2 linked regions of the Macaca fascicularis genome follow. The protein of the gene in region 2 purifies or fractionates together with the protein of the main gene of each other region. This does not show direct contact. Links are inferred from orthologs where the notes say so. Each region holds a gene or a part of one and is shown on either strand. Other genes may lie near its edges.

What was found. Proteins that work in one complex are often made in the same cells at the same time.
Region 1: the proteins of TSPYL1 (region 2) and ZMYND8 purify together in Homo sapiens (affinity purification with mass spectrometry; 4 studies listed by BioGRID and IntAct, counting the BioPlex papers as one, with this or other methods). This does not show direct contact. The link is inferred for Macaca fascicularis from reciprocal best matches to the Homo sapiens genes TSPYL1 and ZMYND8.

Annotation. Positions count from the first base shown.
Region 1 is NC_088384.1:103,409,367-103,414,986, forward strand, and holds the start of ZMYND8 (MYND-type zinc finger-containing chromatin reader ZMYND8), read right to left. Parts: upstream 3,232-5,620; 5' UTR 3,172-3,231; coding exon 3,158-3,171; intron 2,007-3,157; exon of another isoform or gene 1,936-2,006; intron 1-1,935. UniProt on the Homo sapiens protein: Chromatin reader that recognizes dual histone modifications such as histone H3.1 dimethylated at 'Lys-36' and histone H4 acetylated at 'Lys-16' (H3.1K36me2-H4K16ac) and histone H3 methylated at 'Lys-4' and histone H4 acetylated at 'Lys-14' (H3K4me1-H3K14ac).
Region 2 is NC_088378.1:20,294,202-20,299,944, forward strand, and holds TSPYL1 (testis-specific Y-encoded-like protein 1), read right to left. Parts: upstream 3,929-5,743; 5' UTR 3,827-3,928; coding exon 2,501-3,826; 3' UTR 658-2,500; downstream 1-657.

The DNA.
Region 1 (5,620 bases), on a different chromosome or scaffold from region 2:
TTTTCTGGAGCTAATAAAAGCAGTTACTCCCCCTCCCCCACGTGAATGCCACTTAATTTCCCAAAGCAGAAAGTGAACCCATCCTGGAGGGTCTTGAAGGAAAAAAAAAAGAGGAATCAAAAGCTTCAGTGTGTCTGTGTTTGCTCCTTGCAGCTGTGTATCCTCTTTGGGGACTGAGGAGGCAGAAGGAAAAAGGAAAACAGCCCAACATTCTGTTCCTCCCTCTGCAATTTACAAATGTGGCAGAGAGAACATTATACCTTGATGAGAAAAAGAAGGGGGGTTGGGGGGGAAGAAGGGAAGGGAGATGACCTAGGAATGGAAGGTAGGAGACTCTTCTGTTTGGCAGATCCGCTTTTCCTAAAAGGAACAAAGATGGTAGAAATTTCCAGAAGGCCTGTTCTTAGTTCGGCCACTGTAATTGTCAATCTTTAACCTTTCCTCCAAGTCTATTGGTTTAAAAGCTAGAGGAGAAGAACCCCATTGGGCTGCTCTGGGAGCCAGTACTGCCGTCCCTACCTAGTCCTGCTGCAATGCAGACATTTTTTTCCCCTTTCCTGAAACTGGAAAATAATGCTACTTTGAAAGCAATTAACTTTTTACAGACTCATGCTTGGTAGGGGTCACAGTACCAGAGGAAAAGTGGCTAGCTTGGTCCAGTGTTGGCAACTTGCTGGGGGCTGTACATCTGAGAACACATCTTGGCTCTCCAAACCTGTGGGAGCCATTTTAATGCAAGCTTTTAGAGGACAAACGCCTTGCCCTTAAGTTCCCTTCCAGCCCAACAAACACAGTATTATGCAAACGTTGAAGGCACCAAACCAGGAGTCTTATGATTAGACACTGCTTCTAGGGAGGCCACAAGAACCTCAATATGTAATTTCCATTTACAGCAAGGAGATAAGAACAAAGAAAATAGCTGAGTGTCTAAACTTACTTGTTTGGGGCAGTGGCACTGTTCAGTTTTAAGTATGTAACATCATTAACTGCCTGCAGTTTTACTCTAAGAAGCTAAGCTGGCCTGCCTTGCACAGACTTTTTTCAACTTAGAATGTGGTACGAAACGTTTCTCCTGATTAAATGAGCCTTTTTCCAATTTGGTGTCAGAAAGTGGGCTACTGGACACTCATTTGAAAGAAAAAAGATTACTGACTCCATAAAGTTGACATAACACAGCAATTGAATATATTTCCTGCATTTACAGTCATGTCAGATTGGTCTCCAAGCTGAAAATTTACGTACTGAACTTCTAGGGAAATTCTAAAGGTAATGCTAAACAAGACTCTACTTTTCCCACTTAACTTCTAGCTGCAGCCTTAAGAAGTCAAGGGAAATGTAAAAAGTGACAAATCTTATGTGGGGTCAGCATGCATACAGATGTGTGGATGAGACCTGAAAAAAGGCCAAAATGTGTTGGTCAGTGAGTCCTGAATCCAACCCCAGTCTGGTGGCAGATGAGATTTTGCACTATACATAAGTCCTAAAGCATGAGCACACTGCCACCACCACCCCCCAGCACACACATACCACCACCACCACCACCACCAGCTTCTGCCCCACCAATGTTTTTAGGGCTCTGCAACTCTAAGAACAAGCAGTTTCATTACATTTCACAAGCACATCACCTACTCACAGTTTGAATATCCAAACAAACCCCATTAAAGGTCTAGAGTCAAGTCACAATGAACTAAACACTTCTCCCCTGACTCAGGGTAAACAGGAAGTATAATCTTCAATCCTAGCTGCAGGTTATCAGGAAAAACAGTGGATTCAAACAGTCACCTAAAATCAAGACACTCTTTAAAAAGCCCTTATTTTGTTCCTGCTAATGAAGCCCCCAACTCCTGCAGCCAAGACCCCCTATTACAAACAGACCCCAAATGTTCGCAAAACTCTTCAAACATGGTCACAGAGGAAATGGATTGCTTTACTTACCCAACAAATGTTCAAGCAACCGTCTCATTTTTCCACAGTTAGGAAGAGAGAACAGGCTGGCAGATTTGGGACTTGATCAAAAAGGAAATTTTTTTAAACAGTTACATGGTATTATTAAAAACACACAACAACAACAACACCACAACCCAACAACTGAATATGGAATGCTGTCATGAGCCACAGACATGATTTTATTTCCTCTACACTCCATCACACAGGAGAAGAGAGGAGGATACAATGTATAAAAGGGACAGGAAAATGAAAACAAGGATAAAAGGTAACATTAGTTCCTTGAAAATCATGCAAGAGTAGAAAACTAAGGGATTCAGAATCCTTGCAGATTTTTTCTTTTTTTTTTTTTTTTTTTTTTTTTGCAGGATGTTGTCCAAGATCTCTCTCCCCACACCCCCCAGTCCCCATCCCTACTCCAAAAACTTCCTCCAAAACCTAGAAAACACTTTCAGAAACATTTGCTGGCTGTAGGCTGGCTTGCAGAACACTCTGTAGCAACCTAAGTCAGGAAAACAGGCTGAACAATGTAGTTTCAAGTGCAGAAGCTCTGTAGAATAAGAGAAGACCGTGTACAGACACCACCACCCACCTAGGCCCCAGGAGCTAGACTCTCCTTAGCACTGCTCTGCTGAGGGTTCAATTCTTTTGCAAACACGCTCCTCTCTTGTCAAAACTTATCCAGCCTTCCCAGAACCTCTTTGGAGAGGCAAACTTGCCTGCTCTGCTGTCTGCCATGAGCTCTCCTTGGAGAGGAGCCTGTTTGCTTACCTTCCATTTTCTTCCCCCAGCAGGGCATGTGGCAAAAGAGAAGACAATAGTGCAGGGGGGGGGGGGAACTGCTCAGAGAGAGAGAGAGGGGAAGAGAGAGGGAAGAGGGAAAGAAAAAAGAAGAAGAAGAAGAAGAAAAAAAAAAAAGCTTCTTTTTTGGCATACCAGGATCTAGCTTCAAACTCTTCCAGAAACACCATGCCCTGGTGGAAGGAAAGGTGTGCCAGGCCCTTGCCAGTTTGCAAAATCAAGCTATGGCTAATGGCTACTGAGCCATGTGACCCAAGAAAGCAAAAAAATTCTCTCTAAACAGTTCCAAGTTAACATAAGTGCTCTGGGGGTGAGTGTGGCACGGCCAGCCACAGAGAAATCACACTGCTCGCCCACAATTCGGATGTCTCAGAGGGAGGGGGAAAAAAGATGGTTAAAAAGTCGAGCTTACCTCTGTGGATGCATTGTTAACACTGTGTAATGTCAATACTTATAAAACATGGAGGACAGGCTCCTAGTTCTCACAGAAAAAGGGTTTGGCACTTCGGCTGATGATCTGGCCGCCTAATAAAAGCTCATCCCCGATTGGCTGCCCTGGCAAATCGGAGTGTAAAGCCGCCCCGGATTGGCTGAAACACTTCCTGAGCGATTATCTTTGTGAGGCTCGGGTGAGCAAGAGCCATCCTGTGCATAGAAAAAGACAGGCTAAGCTAGGCCTTTTGCAGCAAGAAAAACTTGGGAAAGGGGCCCCCACACGCACTTCTCCTGCACCCTGGCTAGATTTCCCGGCACGGGCCGGCCAGGGCAGCCAGCCTGACCTGCTCCAGGGAAGCCTGAGGACTGGAGGCCCCTGGGAAGGGAGTTTCTTGGAGTGGGCTGGAACGGCTCACCCTCACCTGCCCCCAGAGAAACGGCCCTTGTCCAGGGAGGAAGGCCAGCCGTTTTCTAGAACAGTCCAGCAGGGTGGCTCTCCAAGGGGAAGGGGAAGCTGGGGAGTGGGGAGTCCCACGGAAACAGCCAAGGGGGCCAGAAAAAGGGGCTTGAGGCAGGCCTCTGAGGAGCTGGGGAAGCAGGCAGACCGGGGGAGCCACGAAAAATCAGCAGAGAGCAGCCCTGGCTTCTCAGAGGAGCGAGGAGTAGCTGCTGAGGGGAGGAGGGGAGCAGAGTGGTCAAGTTTGCATAGTCATTGTCCCCATGCCTCCTTGCAAGGCAGGCCAGAGAGCCGTGGGCCTCTCGCCCTGCTTAGCCAGTCCTGCGTGCAAAATCAACGTGGGTTCCTGCCTCCCTGCCACGATGCCAAGGGGGACCCCTCTCCGTCCTTACCCTAAGAAAAACCCAAAGCCCTCCTCGCAGGCCACATGCCTGGATCTACAAACTTCCCTTGCCTCCCGGCCCCTCCCCCACGGCCGAGGCCTGCTAAACCTGTCAGTTAAACACAAATCTGACTTCCGTATTAGCCTGCGATGCCTTCGGCTTCCTGCCTGTTAACCCTCTCTCGGACTCCGGGCCTGGCTGGGAAAAACTAGGCCTTGAGATCGCAGCAAAGGCCTGTGGAAAAATACCAGCTGCAGCTCTCCCGGCAGATGCAGAGAGAGAGAGAGAGAGAGAGAGCCGCTGTCTCTCAGCCTTTGCTTCCCAGGGAGGCGTGTACCTTGTGAATCCAGGGCACAGGCAGTGCCTCTCGGGCTGAGAAGCCATTTCAATCCAGAGGGAGACAGAAAGATGGCACGCTCAGCCCGGAAACAAGAGCCCCCATTATGCGTCAGGCCTACCCCCGTAGGTCAGCCCTTCCTGCCACAATCATCCCTGTATGTGTGTGCCTGGGGGAGTTGGGCCCTCCTCGGTGGGCAGACAAATCCCCTGGGCTTCCTAAGGATTCTTGCTTCCATTTATTTGCACAGAGAACGGCTTCTTTTCGTCCCCCAAGGCAGATGGAGCAGCGATTTCACACACAGCCCTCCATTTGGCAGCCCCCCCACCCCCATCTCTGGCACCACTCCCCAGTAAAATATTAACTGGTTGTTCAGAGCTGCTTATCATTCTACCCACTTCAGTTGCGTTAGGAGGTCTTTGCCGGTCTCCTCCCTAAAGCTGCCTCTGCAGTTGGTCCGTACCCAGAGATCCAAAAGGACCTTAAAATGTCCAAGTTTTCTTGCTTGCTTTCCTTCTTCAGCATTTTAAATGACAAGGTGCTTAATTAACAGGATTTTTTAAAACAGCAAGCTGGAACCACAGAAGCTAAATAAACACCATTCTTTAGAGGCTGGAGAAAGCTTCCAGAGTTAACGCAGCCATATGCCAGGAGGCATAACTCTGGAGCAATAAAGTCTCCCCTCTCCTCCTAAAATTAGGACTTGTGGGCTTTCTTGTCCCACACGGTTCCCACAAAGAAAACGAAGAGCTCATGGCTTGCTTTCCCTGCCCTTCCAACCCCCACATGGACAACAGATGCCCACTGCTTGTACATAAATTCTTCCTGGCCGGGAATCTCCTATCAAACAGGCTCAGGAACGAGCTGGGAATTGAAACTCGCTGTACTGCAGGGCAGGACCCAGGCTTTATGAAAACGGACAGGATGTTGCTGTTGTTACTGTTTTAGACTGCTGAGGCCAAGCTGCAGGGAGGGACAGTTCCATGGCCACCCAACCTGACAAAGCTCCAGCGCTCAGGACAGCAGGCCTGGGCCTCACCAGAAGGGAGGGGCCTGCTCTTCCTGGAGGTAGAAAGCTGCATGGGGAGACCAAATGGGAGGAGGCGAGAGGTGGAGGCCACAGTGAAGCAGTGCGTGCTCGGTGCTCGCCCTCCTAGCTGTGTGGGCAGCGGCCCTCCACCACCATCCCATATGGAATGCTGTTTGTTTCTGCGGGTGCTGCTTTGAGGGGAACAAACAGGACTGTGGGGTTGGTGGCAGATC
Region 2 (5,743 bases):
CTGTCGATTCTTTATCAGTCCTTCCCCAGTTCCCCAATGAAGAAAATGGACTTTATCTTCTTACTCTTTTTCTCTATTTGTGGAATTCACTGTAATGAATAATTATGTGTTATTTTCTGGAACAGAGGTCGCTGCAAAGTACACTAAGTGCATAAAGAAACATTTATCTCCTCTACAGGGAATATAAAGACTAAAAGGCAGAGGAATTACCAAGGGCAGGCCTTGAAGGATCTGATAGAAGAGAGTGGTGAGGAAGTCTGAAGGAAAAAAACGGAAGTTTTCACAGATGAGAAAGTATGAAAATGAGGAATACATCACATATGATAGGTACTCCCTTCATACAAGTTAATAAAAAGAAGAGCCTGAATAACCTGAGAATGTAATTTATGGAGATAGAAATGGAGGATTTGCGCAACTGAAGGGGAGGTGGTGCTGCATAAGCTATATGGAAAAAAGTGATTGAGTAAGCAGTTGCAACTGCTAACATTTTAAAGCAAACTACCTTGGAAGGTACCAAACCTACCATGCCGTTTTCTTCTCTTTGGGATAAGGTCTATTGTGTCCCTTTAAGGACTTTAATGATTCCATAATTTTTAATTAACATGAACAATTTCATTCAAGCATAACATTTATGGGTAAGGTGAAAAATAAGAAATCTAGCAGAACAACATGCTTTTATTTTACCATCATGCATAAAAAGGAAGACAAATATGCCAATGGTACACTTCCAATTTGTCAGAGCAATTTCACAGTATTTAAGCAATTTAGGAAAAAAGACACATCACTTACTAAGTTGTTACCAGGGAAAATTATCATGTAAGACAATCAATTAAACCACACTTTTGTAGATTATTTTTCCACGAAGGCAATTTGACAAGCCTAACAAAGACCAAGTTGTTCAAACTATGTTTCTAGGAATATAGTTTAACAGAAACAAGAACAAGTTGAAAACTGTTATGAATATTCATATGTCTCTATATTGTACAGGAAAGTAAAGACTATTGTTCTTCCAAATGTTCCCAATTGAAATCAAAAGAATGTCTGCACAGCTCAATTTTCACAATAAGTTTAGAAACAGAAAAAAAATAAGATTTTACTAAATCCTAATGAAATAACAATCACCCACATAAATCAGGTCACAAAACAAGCAAGCAAGCATTCAAACTTGCGTTGTGTTTCTTTAAAGAACCCTTGTCTAGGCAACATATTTAACACTTTAACCCCTTCAATTCTCCTTTAGCAATCCTGAAAAGAATTTCTCCATTCATCACCATTGAGGAGTAAGTACTCCTACCTCGAAGGCTCTTAACATCAGCACAGTCTTCATTCTAGGCCCAATTTTTACCTGGCCCATGCCTCTAGCCTTTTGTTCAGTTTCCCCTGCTTAGGGCACCCATCACAATCTCTTTAGTTCCTCCACCCATTATAAACTAGATCTCACCTTTCATCCCATCTAGACGTGTCTCCCTTTAAATATTCTAGGAGCTGATAAAAGGGCTAGGAAGTAGGAAGTTGGGAAGAAAGAAAGGGGTGGGGGCATAAGAGCTTTAGCACTCTTATTTTACAGGACAACTTGTCTCTGAAAATGACAGAACCAAAATGAAATTAAAAGCTTGCTTTTACAAATATTTCTGAGCTAATACTTAAAAGAGAGGAGTGGGAGGCTGAGGCGGGCAGATCACGAGGTCAGGGGTTCGCGACCAGCGTGGCCAGCATGGTGAAACCCCCATCTCTACTAAAAATACAAAAATTAGCCCAGCATGGCAGTGCGCACTCGTAGTCCCAGCTACTCGGGAGGCTGAGGCAGGAGACTCGCTTGAACCCGGGAAGTGGAGGTTGCAGTGAGCCGAGATCGCACCACTGCACTTCAACCTGAGCGACAGGGCAAGACTCCGTCTCAAAAAAAAAAAAAAAGGCAGAGGAAAAGAGGGAGAGAGGGACCTTGGCAGGAGCCAATGCAGGGCAGGTAGCTATAGAAAGTGACTAGAGGTGAAGGAAGAGCAATAAAGTAGCATAAATCACACAGAACAAGCGGCTCACTGCTTTTCTCCTCTGAGTTCATTAACGTCCAGTAACTGTCCACAGGGCATGCGCCCTTACTTCACGATGCAGAGCTGAGTAGGTGGAATAGGCTCCCAAAGGTAGAAATCCAGGTGATAGCAACCAGTTCAGAGGCCCTGGGAATAAACAGCGTCCAAGCAGTGCAGATAAAGGCAGTACAATCTACAGTATCATTTGCTTGGCTTACAAGTAGCGTGAAGGATGACCTCGTAGCATGTGATATTCCAGAACAGCATGAAGGTCATATGGAAGTGGAGACGCATACCCACCACCGTCTCAATCTTGAGGTTGAGAGAACTGAATATCCAAAGGAAAGAGGGTGCAGAAAAGTCAGCAAAAACAAAACACAGTAGAAGACATACCCATTGCTGATGCCCAAGCACAAGTCCAGCAGAAGGTGGTAGGAGACCTTGTGCAGGAGTATTCCCAAGGGCAAATGTTAACCAGACTGGAACCCAAAGGGCCTCGGGATCTCTACTGGCTCCCTTAGTGGGCGACGTCTGGCTCTACGGACTCCTTCACGCAACAGGTAGTATTGCAGTGGATTTGGCCACAGATCCTCTTTAATAATCTCAGCAATTTTGTCGGACTCTGGAAGGCTGTGGTCTGAAAACCAGGTGAAGAAGCTGCAGATGAGGTCTTGGTTTCTGCGAATGAAGGACTGGGGTTCATGCCCCCTGCGCCATATAATTGGAGTAGAAAGAGACACCACCCGGCCGGAGGATCTTACCTCATATTCCTTGACAATCAGCTTGTTTCTGAAGTAGGGGTTTCTTCTAAAGAAGAACTTGAACTTGCAGCCGGTTCTAGGGTGTCTGAGTTCCTTCACCTCTAAATTGGTTATGTACCTTAACATCTCTGCATCTTGGCCCCTAATCATGGCGGACAACTGGGGATGGTTTCGAAAAGCCGTCATCCAGAAGCCCGGGATATTCTGAATGATGTAGTTCCTCCGCTCCAGGTAGTGTCGACGCATCCGCCCAAACTTGTGCTCCAGCTGTTGGAAGGCCCTGTCGGCCTGAGCATTCACAGTGTCCAGTTCCAGCTGGATGGCCTCCAGAGGGTCCATGCGGAGAGCCTCATGCAGAGGCCAGGGCCCTTCCTCCTCCCTCGCCTCCTCCTCCACTCTATCTTCCTCCGCCACTTCTATTTCTTCACCTTCCGGCAGCTGCTCCTCTACCTCCATCTGCTCCTCCACTACCTCCTTCTCCGCCAGGCCTTCCTTCACCACCACCTCAGCGCTCTCCCCCTCAGCCACGGCTGCTAAGACAGTGGCGCACTTTCCTGTCTTCACCTCCTCGGTGTCGTTCTCGGCCCCCGCCCCCGCCGGCAGCTCAGACGCGGATCTCTCGGCGCCATAGATTTCTAGGGCCTTCTCTCCACCCTGAACGCCCTTTTTCAAGCTGCGGTCCACTGCCACCACCACCACAGAAGCGGCTGCCAGGCCCTCAGCGGGAGGCTGGCCCTCTTCCTGCCCGGCTTTGATCGCCACATGACCGCGACCCCCAATAACTCGGATCTGGGGAGTACTGCCACGGCCCGCGGGATCCTGAGGTACGCCCCCCTCCTCTGAAGGCTGTGGAGGCGGGAGCGCGATGGTCTCCGAGCCTCCCTCACCCGGCTCCGCCATCACCTGTGTCGTCTCGCTTTGGTCGCGGAGCTTCAGGCACTGGTGTGCGTCCGGGTCGCTCGGGACGTGGTCAGAAATAATGATGCTGTGGGTTTGGAGGGGAGGGGTCCTCTCGACCCCATCCACGCCGCTCATGTTGGTAACAGTCGGACCAACCGCAGGTGAACGCCCGTTTTCCTCAGAGAAGCCGAGCTCGGAGCTAACCGCCGCTCGCACCGCCCACCCGCCAGTCTCACTAACATCTCCGCGGCGGTGTCGTCAGGGATGCAGATCTCACGGTATCGCGAGAACTTGCTGAGCCCGGGATTGGTTCCGCCGCTCCCTGCCAGCCAACCGGATTCTCTGGGCTTTACTTCTGTGAATTTACCCATAGCAACAGTAATTTTAACTACGTAAATATATGTAGATTGTGCTGAGTCTGAAAGCACTGACGACCCACCTTGAGACGCATCTGGAGACTTCTCCCAGCATGTAGGAGCGGTTGTAAAATCACAGCCGTTCCTGCTCTCCAGTGTCTGAAAACAAATGTTTTTCTGGTCTTCACTTTTTTGAGGCTATTAATCTTAAAAAGAAGTATTTTGCTCCTAGTTACGTGGAGTAACTAATGTTTGCCCCCTTCTAAGTAAAAGTGACATAAAAATGTCAAGTCTAGCCTCTACGATTACTGGGGGAAAAAAAGCTACTCAGCTTCCTTACCACTAAAGCGATGCTTATTATTCATTGCTAATTTTTTATGTATGATCTGCATCAAATAAGAGTTTGTGCTGCATAATATCTGTAGGAATTAAGCCAGGATCAGTTTGCTAAATGTTGTTTCATGCCTCCTCACTGCAAGAAAGAGGAAATAATAACTATTTCCAGCCCCATGATCTTAATTTGTTATCATATTTAGTTATGTAAGATAGGAATGTTTGGCTCTAATGAAGCATTTGTCTTTAGCAATCAGCTAAGAGTTCATTAGAGGGGAATGTTAATGTCTCTGGTTGAAGTGTTCCAGTTTTTTGACTTGTGAGTTAAACTGGTGCTATCTTAGAGAGTTACAAGGCCTCAGAGAAATATCAGTAGGGGGAGCAACATACCACCATTTTGTGAGGAAAGGCTAGTTAAAATGGACAACAAAGATGGCCTTGAAGTAGAAAACAAACTTGCAAAGGGCAACATGCAGCTGGTTGACTCAAGGCGTAAAAGAGGCAAACCTTATTTTCTACTTAATTTGCTTCGTGTGGTAGTAAGCTGATGGCCCTCAGAGATGTACCAGTCTTAGTTATGTGGCTAAAGGGACTTTGCAGATATGATTAAGTTAAAGGTTTGGAGATGAGAAGATGATTCTGGATTATACAGATGGGCCCTATGGAATTACATTTCTTAGAAGAAGGAGGCAGGAGGGTCAGAGAAGATGAGAGGACGAAAGCACAGAGAGAGGGAAAGAATGGTGGAGAATAGGAGGGGGAGGGAGGAAAGGGAAATCGCTATGTTGCAGGCTTTGAAGATGGAGGAAGGAGTCAGGATCGTAGGAATAAAGGCAGCCTCTAGAAGCTTGAAAGGTAAGGAAATAGATTCTATCCTAGAGCCTCCAAAGGAATGCCAACACCTTGAGGTTATTACCTCTAACCTCCAGCACTATAAGATAATAAATTTGTGTATTTTAAGCTATTAAATTTGTGATAATTTGTTACAGAAGCAATATTAAATGAATACACTTTGGATTAAGGTTTGGTTGCATCTATGGGTGCCTCAAATTGTTTCTAATTTGCCCCTTCTGCCTTGCTCATTGCTTCCCATGAGTTTCTGCCCAACAGCTGTGATGTATTACAGCTTGAATCTGTCTTTCAATATCAAGACCAGATATACACCTAGGCAATACACAGAGACAAAATTAAAGCCTAAACATACCACAAATGATATCTGAGGAGACCGTAAACTGCAAGAGGACAAGATCATGGTTTTGTTTCCCTCTGTTTATCGAGTGCCTAGCACACTACCTTGCACAGTATCCCATAGATTATTAAAATGTTAAATAAAGGAGCAACTGAGCAGAAAACAGTTTCTCTT